Caenorhabditis elegans: one gene and its partners. The protein of the gene in region 1 interacts with the protein of each later gene in a pairwise test. Each region holds a gene or a part of one and is shown in the gene's direction. Other genes may lie near its edges. The genes, in order: ech-8, drp-1, pycr-4 and btb-10.

The links.
Region 2: the proteins of ech-8 (region 1) and drp-1 interact in a two-hybrid assay, tested with the Caenorhabditis elegans proteins (one large-scale study listed by BioGRID).
Region 3: the proteins of ech-8 (region 1) and pycr-4 interact in a two-hybrid assay, tested with the Caenorhabditis elegans proteins (one large-scale study listed by BioGRID).
Region 4: the proteins of ech-8 (region 1) and btb-10 interact in a two-hybrid assay, tested with the Caenorhabditis elegans proteins (one large-scale study listed by BioGRID).

The regions. Positions count from the first base shown.
Region 1 is NC_003282.8:10,235,992-10,240,961, reverse strand, and holds ech-8 (Enoyl-CoA Hydratase), read left to right. Parts: upstream 1-1,785; 5' UTR 1,786-1,847; coding exon 1,848-1,910; intron 1,911-2,441; coding exon 2,442-2,597; intron 2,598-2,647; coding exon 2,648-2,791; intron 2,792-2,839; coding exon 2,840-2,959; intron 2,960-3,004; coding exon 3,005-3,431; intron 3,432-3,758; coding exon 3,759-3,880; intron 3,881-3,926; coding exon 3,927-4,024; intron 4,025-4,079; coding exon 4,080-4,263; 3' UTR 4,264-4,336; downstream 4,337-4,970. Other genes in the region: lipl-7 (Lipase), read left to right, coding at 1-48, 416-897, 946-1,057, 1,561-1,638.
Region 2 is NC_003282.8:5,536,925-5,542,070, forward strand, and holds drp-1 (Dynamin-1-like protein drp-1), read left to right. Parts: upstream 1-1,563; 5' UTR 1,564-1,565; coding exon 1,566-1,878; intron 1,879-1,928; coding exon 1,929-2,494; intron 2,495-2,539; coding exon 2,540-3,289; intron 3,290-3,405; coding exon 3,406-3,556; intron 3,557-3,606; coding exon 3,607-3,696; intron 3,697-3,748; coding exon 3,749-3,843; intron 3,844-3,894; coding exon 3,895-4,011; intron 4,012-4,060; coding exon 4,061-4,117; 3' UTR 4,118-4,441; downstream 4,442-5,146. Other genes in the region: Sex-determining protein fem-1, read right to left, coding at 1-130, 186-274, 322-427, 478-524, 574-634, 679-804, 858-932; tebp-2 (SPK domain-containing protein), read left to right, coding at 4,713-4,897, 4,966-5,146. UniProt on the Caenorhabditis elegans protein: Functions in mitochondrial division. Functions in peroxisomal division. Mediates membrane fission, perhaps mainly of the mitochondrial outer membrane. Mitochondrial fission may be promoted by recruitment to mitochondrial membranes via the egl-1/ced-9 complex.
Region 3 is NC_003282.8:7,475,639-7,479,432, reverse strand, and holds pycr-4 (Putative pyrroline-5-carboxylate reductase 4), read left to right. Parts: upstream 1-2,135; 5' UTR 2,136-2,143; coding exon 2,144-2,252; intron 2,253-2,310; coding exon 2,311-2,564; intron 2,565-2,632; coding exon 2,633-3,169; 3' UTR 3,170-3,270; downstream 3,271-3,794. Other genes in the region: Kinetochore-associated protein rod-1, read right to left, coding at 1-275, 333-628, 676-828, 884-980; slc-25A18.2 (SLC (SoLute Carrier) homolog), read right to left, coding at 3,354-3,649, 3,700-3,794.
Region 4 is NC_003280.10:1,058,960-1,062,685, reverse strand, and holds btb-10 (BTB domain-containing protein), read left to right. Parts: upstream 1-1,883; 5' UTR 1,884-1,937; coding exon 1,938-2,041; intron 2,042-2,087; coding exon 2,088-2,454; intron 2,455-2,501; coding exon 2,502-2,646; intron 2,647-2,695; coding exon 2,696-2,973; 3' UTR 2,974-3,024; downstream 3,025-3,726.

The DNA.
Region 1 (4,970 bases):
ATGATTATGTTCTCAAGACTTGCAGAAAATCCAGAATTTGCAAAGAAGGTATTTCAATTTATTGCTAGACACAGAGAATTTTAAAACAAATCTAATTCGTTTCTAATTATAATTAGTCAGACAGTTTTTCGGCACCCGTGCGATGAAGGATGTATTTGACATGTTTTTGTATGACTACTCGTATTATGGGGTATTGTAGTTACAAACAGTACATTTTGTTGTGACTACTTATGTAGTTGCCGTAATCCAACATTTGTTTCTCAAGCTCATGCTTTGCACAAAATTGAAAATCACGATCAGTATATATTTATAGTTTCTGTATGCTAACAAACATTTTCTTTGTAGAAAGTTACATACGATCAGTTAATATGCTTTTAGTCTTTCTTTACCTCCTCAAAAGCAACAATAATTTAAGATTCGTCATTTCCATGCATTGGCTCCAGTTGCAACAGTATCCCATATCGGTGGTCTATTTGGATTGTTTGGGACAAAGTTTCTAACTTATGCAGAAATCTTGCTCGGTCGACTTCCATACTCTCCACTGTCAATTCCGCGAACTGTTCAAAAAATGATAAGTTACATGTGCAGCAGATTCTTTATGCAAAATATTTGTACATTGGACATCGGTTTCATTGATGGAAATGAGAAAATGTTCAATCAATCAAGAGTTGGTGTATATCTTTGTCATACACCTGCAGCCACTTCTGTAAAAGATTTGCAACACTGGATTCAACTTGTCAAATCACAGACTGTTTCTAAGTTTGATTATGGAACTGATGGAAATATCATTGAATACGGGCAACCTACTCCTCCGGAATATGATTTGACACAGATCAACACACCAACTTATCTCTATTGGAGTCGTGACGACATTTTGGCTGATACTCAAGATATTCGGTTAATCAATTATATTAGTTTTGATGTAACTAAATGAATGATTTGTAGAGACTCGATTCTGTCAAAAATGAATAAAACAATCGCTGGATCACTGGAACTTCCACACTACAGTCATATGGATTTTGTATTCGGTACGCATGCTGCATTTGATTTATATCCGGTAAGTCTGAAATCAAATTTCCTACTGAATAATATCTTTTCATTAACGTTAGACCGCGCATCTGTAATATTTACACTTTGTCAAATTTTGGTAAAACCTTTTGATTTGGTTTTGATCAGGCCTTGGTAAAGACTTCATGTGTGCGTTCTGGAAGGTTAAAAAAAATGAAAGTTGGTGGGTCAGACTTAGGTCACCTCATATTTGAAATCTGTAACACGTTCCGAGCAAAGTTTGACCAATTTCTGGCCAAGGTGTATTCAAAATGTGGTCACTCTTTCTAGACATTGAACAGAAAACATTTGAAAAGGAACGGCTTCTGCAGAAATTCTCTCTAACATAAATTAATAGAGTTCCAAAATATTTCAATTCCTTATTTTCCCACTTTTTCGTTTTTGAGCAATGGTCCAAATTTTCCAAAATGCCGGGTTTGGTTGTTCTTAATGTTATATTCTTATTTTTGAAATTACATAATAAGGAGTTATTTAAAAACAAATTTATTCCAGAAAATCATCGAAACTATCCAAGATGACTACAACAAATATCGAATCACTCGGATGCACAAATTGAAGAAACATTTATGATTTTTCATCGATTTTTTTTCAAAAATAAATAAAACCGTGTTTTATTGTTGTTTTAATGGCCAAAATGTACCTATAGGCTACAATGTTCTTCTTATCAATTGATCGCTAACGTGGGACACATCTGGCATATATCAATGCAATTTCTTTAGATCTTTTAATTCGTTACAATTGGTTTTATTTTGAAATTTAGATTTTTGAAATTCAGAAAAATGGATAAAGTGCCACAAGCAGTGAGGGACTATTTGATGGAGGCTCATCAATTGGCGGCTCAGGTAACTTTGAAAACTAAAATAATAAAGTTTTTTGAATGAGAAATTAGTTATTTTCCGCTTTTCCGTATCCGTGGGCACTCTGTAGATTTGTGAATTGTTTGTTTTTGGTATTTTTCAGTGAGGGAAGACCACTTTTCGGCAGAATTTTGAATTGAGCAATGGTAGAAATCACTAAAACGATATCGTTTATAGTATATAGAGAACAGAAAATAGCTGAAGTTACAGATTTCGATTTCATTGATAATATAAAATATTAGTTCATCCGGCAAACATCGGAATAATATTTTTTTAAAGTATTTTTCAAATATCGAAGAGCACGACTATATGATTCAATGGCAAAATTCTAAGTTGTGGTGAAAAATAATAATAAACAAGAAAATCCCTTGATTAGTCAGTTGCCAAAATTTTTGAAGAACTTGCTCGAGAAAAACGCGCATTTTTACACTTTGCAAAGTTTTTCAGCATTCAGCTTTAACAATATCTGAAAATCACAATTTTTTTACATCAGAATATGAAAATTGATCATTTCAGTGGTCTCTTCCAAATGATCGCGGTGACTACATAAATTCGAAATCAATTCCAATCAAATCAGTGGCTGTAATTGGAGGTGGAACCATGGGAAGAGGAATTGCAATCGCATTTTGTTTATCAGGATTTGAGACGTATCTTGTCGAAGTTAACAATAAGGTAGCCATAAAGTTTAAAAATAATATCAATTCAGTTAAACTTGTTTGCAGGCTGCCGAATTCTGTAAAAATGAATTGGAAATCACTTACAAAAGGGAAAAAGCATTTCGAAGACTGAACGATTCAAAAGTTGAAAAATTGAGAAAAAATCTACAGATAACTACAGATTTTCAAAAGCTAAATAATTGTGATTTGGTGAGTTTTTGTTTTTATTTTCAAAAGAAAAAAAAAGAAAAATTTCAGATTGTAGAAGCCGTTTTTGAAGATATGAAACTGAAAAAGGAACTTTTCACTAAACTTGATAAAATTTGCAAACCATCATGTATTTTTGGAACCAACACATCAAGTTTAGATTTGAATGAGGTACGCTTTAAGTTAACTATTCCAAAAGAACATGTTCACTTTCAGATGTCATCAGTACTTAGAGATCCAACAAAAGTAGTTGGAATTCATTTTTTCAATCCGGCAAATTTGATTCGAATGGTTGAAGTGATCTACGGATCGAAAACTTCCTCCAAAGCAGTTGCTACAGCTTTTGAAGCATGTAGATCTATCAAAAAGCTACCAGTTCTTGTGGGAAACTGTCCAGCATTTGTATTTAACCGGCTACTTGGAGTTTATCTGAATCAGAGTCAAAAGTTGATGTATGAATACGGATATCTTCCTCATCAAATTGATAAAATCATTACAAACTTTGGATTCCTAATGGGTCCTTTAACAGTAGCTGATATGAATGGATTAGATGTAATGGAAAAGTTGAAAAAGGAGAATGGATGGCCAGCAAGTGATTTTGAAAAGGAAGTTTGGAGACAAAAGAGATACGGTAGAAAAACAAGTACGTCTTTAAATAAATTGTGAAATGAACTGAGAAACGGATAATTTCAATTTCTTTGGAGTATCACCAGCGGCAAATAGTTATACATAGGTTAAAAAACAAATACCTTCGCTCCGGCTATAAGAAAAGTTTGAAATATTTGACAAGCTGAAGTCTGAAATTTTTAAAATATTTTTTCAGTGGTAATGATAAGTGCCAATCAAAATTTTGAACGTTCCAGAAGGAAAACCGGAAATTATTGTTTTCAATTTATTTTTTCAAAATGAAGATTTTCAAAACTGTCACGAAAAGCCCAATATTTTTTACCAATTTAGGTGTAATTTTCAGATAAGGGATACTACAAATATGATCCAAATACTCACAAAAAGGAGAATGATATAGAAATGGAGCAGCTCATTCGAAAATTTTCTTCAGCTGCAAGTCCAAATATACAAATTTTGAACGATCAGGTACTCACTTTCTAATTTCATTCAAATTCAACCGAAAACTTACCAGGATGCCGTCAATTTCCTCTTGTATCCCATGGTCAACGAAGGTCTTTTGTGCATTGAGGAAGGAATCATCCATCATGAAAGTTTGATCGATATCATGTTGTAAGTAAAACTTAATTTCAAAAAAAAATTAAAATTATGAGCACAATTGTTTCAGCATTCTCGGGTTTGGATGGCCTGTTGCTACTGGTGGTCCGATGAGATTTGGATGGCTTCAAGGAATTGAAAAAGTTGCGAGCACAATTATTCTCTGGAATTCTTTAGAACCAAATGATAGAACATACAAAGTTGCGGCCACGTTGCAAAATGTGGACAGGAAGAATTTTGCAGCGAAATTATAAATTTTGTAGTTCGTTACCATGTTCAAAGAGATGATTATTGTAAAAACATAAATAAATACCCTGTATACAATTGATCTACTATGTACAAGAAATGACATGCTGGGGATTATAAATTTTGTCGAAAGTTTGATGCAAATCAATCTGCAAGACCAATTGCCCATCTCTAATTCTGAAAATTAAAATGTCTTCTGTATTTTTTTGGATAAACCCCGTGAGGTGCACAAATAATAATTATAAAAATAAAAGTACGGTACATTTAGCGAAAAACGGATCTTGAGACATTCAATTGTACACTTATCATTATTATCAGTAACATGGATTTTGTGGGCGTTTTTCGTATTTCAACCGGACAAGCACTGTCATATGAAATCAACCCTTACTCTTAGACATTTGAGCTTGAAAATTGATAAGAAAGTGGAAGTAAATGTTGCCTTACAGAATCACAAAAATCAACATAAAGACTGCCTTGCTGAAATGACGTTTTGTATTAAAAAATATTACTGATTGTGTTGGGATTAAAAATTTGATATCAAAACGAAAAATACTTGGTAAATAGGTAGAACACACATTTTTTCAAGAAAAAAGTGTTTCCTCTGGTGCTCGATATGACCGACAATAAACTTCAAATTTTTAGCTGTACTCTGTAGGGCACAATAATTATATTTAAAAATTTCAGTTCAAGCCAACTTCTGTACAAAATCCACCTT
Region 2 (5,146 bases), 4.7 Mb from region 1:
CGTGTTTCAGAAGAATTTTCACAACTTCCACATTTCCACTTTCTGCAGCGTCATGAAGAGCCGTATTTCCTCTCTCGGTTTTCTTGTTCACATCGATTCCGGTTTTTAGGAGCTCTTCCACAATTCCAACCTACAAAATTTTAGTTTTTCTCATATTTTGTTAATTAAAAATTTCAAAATCATACTTTATTTCTGTAGGATGCAATCATCAGGCACGTATGACCATGACGATTCGGTATATGTGGATCTGCACCTTTTTCGAGTAAATATTTCACTGAAAATCTTATTTTTAAAAAAGCTTCTTCGACTTCAAGGAATTACCAATATCCAAGTGTCCATCGTAACATGCACCTCTTAATGGAGTACTTCTTGTGTTAGTTGCTTGATTTACATCTGCATTTGCCTTTTCGATCAAGAGCTTTACGATCTGAAATCGAAATAAAACATTATTGCATTAAATAATGAAATATTTTTCACTTCAATGTGTCCAGCAGCGGAGGCAGCCCACAAAGGAGGTGTTCCTTCTGAAAACTATTGTTTTATTTTCTTTTCAGAACAGAAATAAAAACTTACGAATGTTTTCGTTGTCAAATTCCACAACACCACGAACAGATGGATCGGCTCCAATTTCTAGCTGAAAATCTTCTCATTTAATTAATTAATTTTCATTTTTCCCACCAAATATTCGACGACATTTGCGTGTCCATTTCTTGCAGCAATCACAAGTGGATATCGTCCGTCTTGATCAGAATTGAAGCAATCAATTATCCATTGTCGATCGTTTCTTGAATTTATTGTGAAAACCTGGAAATTCATTTATTTTGACAACTTTTCTTTAACTTGAGCTTTTTGCTTACTTTAATTCTCTGCAAATTTCCAACCGCCGCAGCATTATAAATTACTGTTCGAAAATGATGTCCATTTGGTGTCATACCGCCAATTTTTCCAAAAAAAAACTGGCGGAATTTTAATAGAAATTGCAGAAATTCGAGAAGAAAAAGAAAAGAAAATACTCCTCGTGATTTGTCGTCGGATAGGGTGCACGGTCTGCAATCTGACGTGAGGATTATTGCGGAGTGCTCGAAATTTTGAGTTCAGCGCCGCGGCGGAAATATCGGATATCAGAGATTTTCCCGTCGGTTTTGTCAACTTTTGCCTCAATTTTATCAATTTTTCCGTAAAAATCTCAAAGATCGTTACTGTTTGTATCATTGTTTGAAACAAACTACGCAGAATGATGCAAAATTGTATAGGAACTCCCATGGTTGACATTTTCCCAGGGAAAAATGAGTAAGTGGCAGGATCGAAAAGATGATATAAAAGTTGGCGTTCACAGTCAATCGAAGGCCAAGTAGACTATCTGAATTTCTATTTGCGCACATTTTATCACTTGTTATCACTGGTGTGTTCAAATGCATTGTTTTTCACTTTGTGATCACTGGCAGTTGTTCTTTCTCATTTCAAACATCATTTCGCAACTGCCTCGTCATTTTTACTCTTCTCCTCGTAAAACTCTTTATATAAATGATACTCTCATTTCGATTCAAAAATTTTAAATTTTACAGATGGAAAATCTCATTCCTGTCGTCAATAAACTACAGGATGTTTTCGCAACGTTAGGCAGGAAAGAAGATCAAATTCAACTTCCACAGATTGTAGTCGTCGGATCACAGTCGGCCGGAAAGTCTTCAGTGCTCGAAAATCTAGTCGGTCGGGATTTTCTGCCGCGTGGTACTGGAATTGTCACTCGCAGGCCATTGATTCTTCAGTTAAATCACGTTGCTCTCGATGATGAATCCAAAAGAAGACGGTCAAATGGAACACTTCTCACAGATGATTGGGCAATGTTCGAACATACTGGCTCTAAGGTTTTCACAGGTGAGAATTTAGTAATTTGAATATTGCGAGAAATTTAAACAATTTTCCAGACTTCGATGCCGTGCGAAAAGAAATCGAAGATGAAACTGATCGTGTAACTGGAGTGAATAAAGGAATCTCTCTTCTTCCAATCAGTTTGAAAATTTATTCCCACAGAGTTGTCTCCCTCTCCCTGGTCGATCTTCCCGGCATCACAAAGATCCCAGTTGGTGATCAACCAGTCAATATTGAAGAGCAAATCCGTGAAATGATTCTTCTCTACATTTCAAATCCTTCTTCTATCATTCTGGCTGTAACTCCAGCGAACCAGGATTTCGCTACTTCGGAGCCTATCAAGTTAGCTAGAGAAGTGGACGCAGGTGGACAAAGAACTCTCGCAGTTCTCACGAAATTGGATTTGATGGATCAAGGAACTGATGCGATGGACGTATTAATGGGGAAAGTGATTCCAGTAAAGTTGGGAATTATTGGAGTCGTTAATCGATCTCAACAGAATATTCTCGACAACAAACTGATCGTGGATGCAGTGAAAGATGAGCAAAGCTTTATGCAAAAGAAATATCCAACATTAGCTAGCAGAAATGGAACTCCTTATTTGGCAAAGAGATTGAATATGGTAAGAATTTCAATAAATAAAAAATTATTTAGAAATTAATTTCAGCTTCTCATGCACCATATTCGCAACTGTCTTCCTGCACTGAAAGCCCGCGTGTCTATCATGAACGCCCAATGCCAATCGGATCTTGTTGCATTCGGTGAACCAGTTGAAGATAAGAACAGAACACTTCTTCAAATCATAACTCGATTCGCAACTGCTTATACATCAACTATCGAAGGAACTGCCCGCAATATTGAAACAACTGAGCTATGCGGAGGTGCTCGTATATGCTACATTTTCCACGATACCTTCGGAAGATCTTTGGAATCTGTCAATCCATTGGAAAACCTCACACAATTGGATATTTTGACTGCGATTAGAAACGCGACAGGACCAAGGCCAGCTCTTTTCGTACCAGAAGTCTCATTTGAATTGCTTGTCAAGCGACAAATTCAACGATTGGAGGAGCCATCGTTGAGATGCGTTGAGCTGGTACACGAAGAAATGCAACGAATGGTTCAGCATTGCGGATTCACTACTCAACAGGAGATGATTCGTTTCCCAAGATTGTACGATAAAATCAATGAGGTCGTTAGTGGAGTTCTGAAAGAGAGGCTGAAGCCCACCAATGAGCTTGTCGAGAATCTTGTAGCCATTGAACTTGCTTACATTAATACAAAACATCCAGAATTCACAGAAGCCAATTTGGTGACACTTTTGAAAGAGGAGCTTCTTCTCGACGATCGGCATGGTCGCAGTAGAAATCGACATGCATCAACCGGAGAAAGAGCGGTCAGTGCTCATGGAGAACAGGTGGGGGCAGGAACTTCCTGCCAGGAAGTGCGGATGACTGACTGGGCTTTAATATTGCATGGGCTTAACCTCATTGGATTCCTAGTATTAAGCAGTCAAATTAAAACAATTTTCAGCAGCTACAACCGGTACCAGGAGTTAATGGTGTCGACTTGAACGCTGTTCTTCAACAACAACAGCAGCAATCCCAGAACCAACGTGCTTCCAATGGATTCCTTGGATTATTCGGCAACGCCGCTGCCAGCAGCAAGACGTCCCCACAAGAAAGTCAGTGGAAAAATAAAGAGTTTGTGGTCATTCAGTATCTATATTTTCAGAGCAATCAGCAAATTTTTTGCCAGAAGTGCCAGAGACGCAACTAGGAAGAAAGTTGACAAGTCGTGAACAAAGAGATGTCGCTATTATCGGTATGAGACCTAGTTTTCAGTTTTTAATTTGGGTTTTTTTTTATTTTTTCAGAACGGCTTATTCGAAACTATTTCATCATTGTTCGTAAGAATATTCAGGATAGTGTGCCGAAAGCTATTATGGCGTTACTGGTCAATTTTGTTAGAGTGAGTTGCAAGCTTAAATTTAAAAATTTAAATTAATTTCTTTAATTTCAGGACAATTTGCAATCGGAGCTCGTTCGTCAGCTGTACAAACCCGACGAGATGGACGATTTGTTGGCTGAAACTGAAGACATGGCTCAGAGAAGAAGAGATACTCTTGAAACTATGAAGGTATTCGGTCTCCTTTTTGATTGGATTCGACACAATTTATTGTTTTCAGGCCCTCCAACAAGCCAGCGTGATCATCAGCGAAGTGAGAGAAACACAAGTTTGGTGATATTCCCATCAAATAATTTCCAGCTGTTTTAACTATTGCAATGTAGATTAGGACGATTCTAATTTTATTTTCACGATTGATTCGATTTATTGTATTTTAACTATTTTTCTTCTTCTCTTCGCCTCGATGATAATTCTAGTTCGGTAACTCCCCCGTTTCTGTATGATCTCTATGCTCCGTTCCCTTTGATGTTTTCTTTTCATGATAATATTGTGTGCTCCTTGAAAGAATCACGGTTTGTTGTAGATTCTAGTTTTTTTTGTGGCTTTTGAAAATATTGGAAACAGAAAGGTGGATTTATATGAAATTCTTTGATGATGCTTGAAAATATTTCGTGTTTATCGTTGATTTTCTCGTTGAACTATTTTTAATATCTTTTTTCCGACCCTTTAAAAAATGTTCACTCAACATGCGCCAATAGCACTGCTGGCGCATTTCGAGTGTCACTCGATCTGCGCCAACAGCTGAGATTGACCACGCCCATAGAACCGTGCGGCAATTGCGCTTTTGCTTCATCCGCACGGTTTTGAAAATTTTAGGATTCATTTTTTGTTTTGTCCAAAAAATTCATTTTCGATATTTCAGCGTTCAAAAAATGTCAACGCGAGCAAAGAAGAATAAGCCGTCAGAACCGTCATTCGACGATGAGCTCCTCATTTGGGAGTTCATTTACGAAAATACGTGTAATATGCAGTTGTTCGATGACGTGAATTTGGACCTCTTCAAGCAATATCTACAAGAACATGAGTCTGTGTTTACGGCGGAGCAGCTATACGAATTGTAAGTGTTTTTCATTTTTAGTTGTTTAAACTTTGACCAAACCAAAAGCTCTAATTTTCAATTTTCAGCTACGTTACAAGAATGAAAGCTACGCTTTACAAATGTGAGCTGGAGCCGCGAAAAATGCTCACTCTTTACAAGAACCTGGAGATCGAAATGAATCAACATGTCGAGACTTTACTGGAGGCCAGATTCAAAACTGTTCTGCGTGTTGACTCGAATAGATGTCTTCAGAAGTTCTCCGAGTTT
Region 3 (3,794 bases), 2.8 Mb from region 1:
TCAAATTCGTGGCAGAAGGATGATACCAATGAATCAAAGACATGAATCCATCCATCCGTGTCGAGGTGAAGAGAGAATCTACCTCCATCACGGACTTGCAAGAATTGTTTTTCCATGCCAATCACCTCAAACTCCGATTCGACGAGACCACACCAGTGAATCCCTCTTTGCTGATCAATTGAAGCGAACGTCTGAAGTGGCCCATTGGAGATCAGAGTAATGTCACCTGCGACCTTCGACATGTCAACAGACTTTGAAACCGTTTTTCCCATTGCCTGAAAAGAGAGTATTAAAATTAATTTGAAACTTTAAATGAATGTGATGAGCGTTACCTGGTGGAAAAATTCCTGAATCTGATCTCTGTGCCAATTTTCGAAACGGTTAGTCTCCTTAGATGCAGCCACGTCTCCTGGCAATGTGATAGTATGCCAATTATCAGATCGGCTCCCGAAAATCAATTGGCAAACACTGGAAGTAGTGTGACAGACAACGAAGTCAATTTCATGAGGAGCTGGCTCGTTCAAGTAAATTTCTTGTTTATCCAGCGAGAGAATTACAATACGACGATGTTCAATGACTCCAACAAAGAAGGAAGAACTTCCAAGGATTTCGAAATCAGTGATGGCTCCTGAAAATGTTGAGAAATCATTCCAGAGACTCTGAAATAGCTCATACCTCCAAGTCCGGTGTTGAACGAGTAGTCGCTTTTCTCGCCAAGACTGAAGACTGCCAGATCGGAGCACGACGCAAGAACAAGAAATCGCTCGTTACTTTTCGGTTTGAGCTTCCATGCCGGAGATTTCTTATCGATTGACATCTCATTTAACACTGAAACATACATTTAATTACATTAATCATAAAGATAATAGTTTTATTTTCTTACGGGGAAGGATTCGCCCAACGGTGCACACATCATAAAGGCCCACAGTCGACGTTTCCGCTTCCAAGTCCACAGCTTTTGCTTCGCCTAGGCGACCCATTCTGCAAATACGACATTATAATACACTGGTATCTCTAATTAAAAAATTTAACAGAAGAACGATTATAAAAATGAGTGAACAATTTCATTTCAAAAAATGTTTTTCGCCGCCGAAATAAGTGTCAGCAGGGCGCAATTTCCAAGTGTTAGAGTGAGAGAAACAAGACTTTTTTGAACCAAATAGTTGAATTTTGAAGCAAAAAACCAATAACTAAACACGAAAAGCGTTTCAAATCTCATACATTTCCTTACCTTTAACTGTGTTGAACAAAAATTAAATAATGAAAAACAATTAACACATTCAGTAAAAATTGATCGAAACGTGGAAATTACGTGTTCCTAACTATACAGCTTTTTTAAACGTAATTTTAGACCGGAAAACTTCTTTAAATTCAGAAATTTCACTATATTTATCAAAAATAAATAGTCTGAAACGATTTATTAGGATGAGGCGAGAAAATAACTGAAAATTAAAATGATATCCAAAAGAATTAAGATTCGTGTAAATATAGAGAAATTCGCGCCTAAAATTTGCGCGGGCAGGCGAAAAAAGACCGTAGTTTTTCGTCCCAAAACCCATCTCCAATATTCAGCATGCGCCTTTAATATGTCTACCGTATCTGCTCAGATGTTTCAAGTTTTTATCATAAATAAAATAATTTTACATTTTTTAAAGAAATTTTGAAGTGTTTATTTTCTGTGTTTCACCTGTTCCTACTGTTTTGTTCGTGGTTTGAACGTTTTGAATTATTTTCCAGAGCAGGATGACAAAACTGAACCGATGACAAATATATTTTATTATCTATACGGCCTCTGGAATGATGACAAAATAATCATCTAGGTGACTTTCTGTGCCTTTCACGGTTTTAAGATACAAATTTTTATAGAATACTAGTTTTTCATGTCAATTTCGGTACTAAAATGATCCCAGCATGTACCATAATATATCTTATTGTAACTTTTATATAAATGGAGACTTAGACGTCTAGACGTCTAACAAGAGACATAAAATAGAACCCAGTTATATGTTAAACGCACAGAGACGCAGTTGAGAAACAGAATCTCGTTAAGCGGGCAAACCTCTGCTCATGTCTTCTTCTTTTTTTTTTAATATGTTGCTTTTTGTTGTGTCAAAAACAATTATTATTGATTTCAGTCAAAACCATGACTATCGATACTGAATTGACAAACGGGTCCTCAGAGTCTGTGCCATTCGTGTTCATCGGAGGTGGAAATATGGCCGCTGCAATTATAAAAGGATGCCAGAATAAAGGTGAGTTAAAAAATTGTTCTCCTCGTTGATTTGAATTAAATTGTTTTCTAATTTTTAGGCTTTACACCGAAAAGCAATATTGTAATTGGCGTTCAAACGGAAAAATCGGCTGAGAAATGGAGGCAACTAGGATATAAAAACGTTTTCACAAACACACTGGAAATGCTGGAAAGATATTCGACGGCAATCTATGTGATTTGTGTGAAACCTCAAGTTTTCGAAGAAGTTGTGTCAAGCTGGCCTGTAAACTCAAGACCAGAATTTATTATTTCTGTAATGGCTGGAGTTCCATTAAAAGTTCTCAACGCGAAGGTGATTACTATAAGCAGTTATAAAATAATTTTAGAAATCATAATTTGCTGTACATAACATTTTTCCAGTTGCCATTCGTTTCGGGAAACACTACCATTGTTCGTTTGATGCCAAATGTAGCAAGTTCTATTGGAGCCGGCGCCTCGACGATGTGCTATGAAAAGAATGAAAAAATTATGAATCAAGATTCTCACATCGAATTGGCACGCGAGTTCGCCGAGTGTGTTGGAACTGTCGAACTTATCCCAGAAAGATGCTTTAACCCGGCAATGGCTATTGGAGGGAGTAGTCCTGCATGGACATTTATGTACATCGAATCACTGGCAGATGGAGCCGTCGCACAAGGGCTCGGACGAGCAGAGGCTAAAAGATTAGCTGCTCAAGCAGTACTCGGAGCAGCTCAAATGGTGCTCAATTCGAACTCTGGATTTGATATTGAAACTCAGCACTTTGGATCCCTCAAAGATATGGTTTGCTCCCCTGGCGGTACAACGATTGAAGGTGTTCGGGCACTTGAGAAGAACGGATTCCGTTACGCTGTTATGGAAGCTGTGGTAGCTGCCTCGACCAAGGCCGATGAAATGGCAAAATCTCTGGCCAAGTGATTAAGTTAGATTTTGTAATGCTTTTCACACATAACTTGTTGTTGTTGATATTTAAAAAAAAAATCTTTTTTTGAAAAAGAAAATAAATGCTCTAGGCGAAACCGACGCAAACGTTAAACATTGCAAATGACTGGCCAGAAATGAGCCCTAATTAATTGTGAAAATTTGGGAATTGGGGGGAAATTTATACTCTTGATCCTTTTTCCAAGCCGAGAATCTTTTCGGCCGATCCAACATAGTAGACAGTCTGAGCGATTCCGAAAAGTGGTGCCATTACCATCATTCTGCAAATTGCTCCTTTAAAAAGAGCTTTTACACCTTCATCAGCGAGAATACGATAAAACGCGTGGAAAATTCCGTTGTAGTTGGATCCTCCAGTTTGAATTCTTGTTTTCACAACGTCCAATGGAGTCACTGATAATGATGCAGTTGCTCCAGCAGTTAATCCTGATACAAAGCTTGCCCAGAATACTGCGTCGCCTTAAATATGAACTTGAAAATTTAAAGTTTCAGTAAACAATTCGACAAACCTGAATCGTCTTTCTTTCGTGGACCGAGGCCATCCAAATAGGCGAAAAGCGGGAAATACATTGCTGAAAACGAAACATCTCGTGCCATTGTCGGT
Region 4 (3,726 bases), on another chromosome or scaffold:
ATTAGAACTTGATTCGCAGATGGTAAGTTTGCCCAGAAAAGCTTCGAAGTCAGATCATCAAATCTTGGGGTTGCCGATGAAAAATCAGCAGCTAAAAGCCGTCAATCCCCTCCAGAACCCTTGTTAGACCTTCAATGTCTAAATTCCCAGAGTCCAAGGGAGTTTTTAGACTAAAATCGATCCTCTGAATCGCCAGCACATCCATCAAGAATTCGAGCCAAGATCTCATGGTTTTCCGGGTGAACACATTCACATGGTGACCGTGCATTGATATTTTTACAAACTGAGGAATGTCAAAACTTGGCACAAAGCATCGGCATTTATTGTAGAACTTCAACCATACTCGTTTATTCCCAAATTTCATCTTGAAATTGAAACCTTTTGCAAAATTGAACCCACTCGAGTCGACTTTCAGGTGGAGTGATTTCACGATTTCTTTGGTGGCGTCGGAGCATAAGGAGAAGGCGAGTCTGGAAGTGAATAAGGTTTTAATAAGTTGGAGAAATTGTTAAATCTCATATTTTCCTGAAAAAATATAACGGAAAAATGTGTCAACTGAAAAACGTGACCTGAAAGCTTGCTAAATTTTTTTTTTCAAAAAAAAAAAAAATCAAATTTGACATAAACTCACAAATGCACAATTTCCATACTGCGAAGCACATTTATCCTTGATTTTTCCGGTAGTCGGAGTATAGGAAAAGGAAGGGGCTCACCGGCATTCATGGCAGTTTACGGAGCAAAATGAGCACACTACGAGGCTCGGGAAGCAATTAGGGGGAGGTGAGGTATTAGCCAGGTGGCTCAGGCCATCTGCCGTTTAGCTTGTTTCAAATACCAAAAGCATTCAGGGGATTCGACATAATTCGATGTGATGAATGTGAGGTAAATGTGGAACAACACTGATTTGGGTACTTTAGGGTAGGATTAACCACCAAAAGGGTCTTGGCTCCGATCAGGGGTGTGCGGAAAATCTCAAAATTTGCCGAGCTCGACAAACGGCAAATTCGGCAAATTTGCCGCACACCCCTGCCTCCGACTGGGTTGTAAATGGGTACCTTTGGCGAAAATTGACATAACTTTAGAACCTGATTAGCTACAAAAAATTAAAATATATTTCTTGAAAGTTAAATTAATGGGAACATTTTTGGTAATATTATCAAAAAAAAAATTATATTTTTTCTTTGAGATATAACAGTTTCAATATGTAAAACTACTGTTTTCAACTGAAAAACGCCAATTTTACTTCAATATTTTAAAGTTCTCAGTAGGAATCGTAAGTTTTTATGTTGTTTTTGATATGGAAAATAACATGATCTTATTTTATTTTTCTAAGTTTCATCAAAATTGGAAGCGAAAATTTTTTTTGAGAAAATTCACCAAAAATATATTTTGAAAAATTATTTCAAAAGCTTGCTATATGATTAGAAAAGCCAAAAAGAAATCAAAGAAATTTAGTACTAAATCAAAAAGTCTTGACAAAATTAAAAATTTCCAAAGAAAACTATAATCACAGATAATTTAAAGTGCATCAGAAAAGGATTTCTACCATGTTCTGTTAAAAATTAACAAAAAACCAAAAGTAAGAGGTGCACATTTACATCCCGTGTAGATCCTTTGACTTTTCAGTTTTCTCCAAACTGTTCAGGGACGACTGGTTTCTCGGAGCGAATTCTCAGTTCGATAAGAAATTCAGCAGATTGATTTGAACACATAGATTCGTTGCGGGAAAAGAGCCTTCCACCTTCCCAAGATTTCCAGCAACCTTTCCCATCTGCGCACAGTTTGTATCGATCTGCAACACCGTGTGCGCGCATAAATTGCCTAGGCTACTCTCACTCTACATTTTTGTGGGCCCCTACAATCATCTTTTTTGTTTTCTCTTCTGCTTTCTTTGTCTATTCTTGTATCCTTGCATCTTTCCAGAATTTACCGAAACAATGGACAATATTGTTACTCAAAATATTAAATTTGAAAGCGAACCAAATTACTACCTAAGAGGTTACCACCTCTTTGATATCAGTCCTTTGAACGGATTAAAATGGTAAGAAAAATGTTATTGAACGACAGATGAAACAGTATTTTTTTAGTGAGATAACTGATGAATTCGAGACTGACAAGATTCACCTGAAAATAAAGCTGGATTGGGATCAGCAAGAAATAAAGAAGATCACTGGTTTCATCCAATTGTCGTATGATGGGCATCAACTGAAGCCTATTGATTCGAACTTTGACAAACGAGGAGGAATCTGTATAATGACAGTCCCAAAATACATTAATGCATACCGCTGGTCGTTTTCGTTTGATCTAAAACTCCATCGCTACCCAGCCAAGCCACCTCAGATTTCTCATGACCTCAATCCTCAGGTCAGGTCTTATGACACAATGTTCGAGCCGTCCAGGAAGCACGATGCGGTGCTCTTAATCGGAGAGAAGAAGCTTCATGTGAACAAGGCTGTAAGTTTTAATTTGGAATCTTGCTAAGCTAAGCTTGAAAATTTCAGTTCCTCTCCTACCACTCCGACTATTTCTGTGATCTATTTGCTGAGAAATTCGATGAGAAAAACGGGATCCCCATCGAAAACGTGACCTATGAGAATTTCGGACTTCTCATGAGTATTATCTACCCTGAAGCGGCTTTCTCGAATCGTGAGTTATTCCTGATCCCTTCCAGCAACCAACTAATCTCAATTTTCAGATCAAAACGCTGAAGTCCTTCTCGAGCTGGGAAATCGTTTCAAGATCCCAGCAGTGATGCGCCACGTGGAAAATCAAATCATTCGAGACACCAAGTTCCCAAATGAACGGTTGATTTTTCTGGCAGACAAATACGAACTTCAAAAGCTATTGGCTATGGAAATCCAGAAGATGGAAAGCTTCGATCAGGCTAAGAAGTTCAAAGGATCTGATGATTACTCGCAGTTATCGGATGCGACAAAAGCCAAGATCTTGGATCGACTCATTGAGTTATCTTGATTTTTTCTTCAAGACCTGATTTGATTCTTGGAAATAAATCATTCTGTTATGTTTTTTTGAATTATTAGGTTCTTCAATTGGGCGTACATGACTTTTACAGGGCGATAATAATTGCGCGCAAACGGGAACGTGAGCGGCAGGGTTAAGCTTCTCAATAAGCATTGGTACATGATTTTATAGATCATTTTGACAAGGCAATCATGAGTTGCAAACTCGAGCAAGTCGACCAGCTCAAAAAATAGGCTCAGCACCCGGTGTACTGAGCCCCGATCTGAAAAACCAACAAGTTCTTAAAACCAGACACAGCGAAATGGGCAAAAAAAAAACGACTGGGCTTCACAGTTTGGCTATAAACAATTGAAATTTTCTTGGTTATGAGGAAACCCTCTCATCTCTTGTTTCCGTAAAAAAATTATTACATAGAATATAAACATTTATTATTTAATTTTACAAATAAAAAGAGCTCTTCTGACGCCATAAAATGAGTTTAAATTGGAACAATTGCAAGGAGAATTACTCTCCAACCATGTAGAGCATATACCACTTGGCATAAAAGAGATTGACAACAGTCAGTTGTCCATGCCAATTGAAGGTTCCTGGACCCTTACGAGCCCCATTTTTTTTCGTCCATCTGACAGCCACATCTCTGGAAGTAACCGCCAAAAAGTACGAGCATCCCTTGAACTCGTTCTTCGCAGATGAGATCACTGCCGATCGAAGGTACTCTTTCATAAGAGTTGTCAAAGTGTGCAA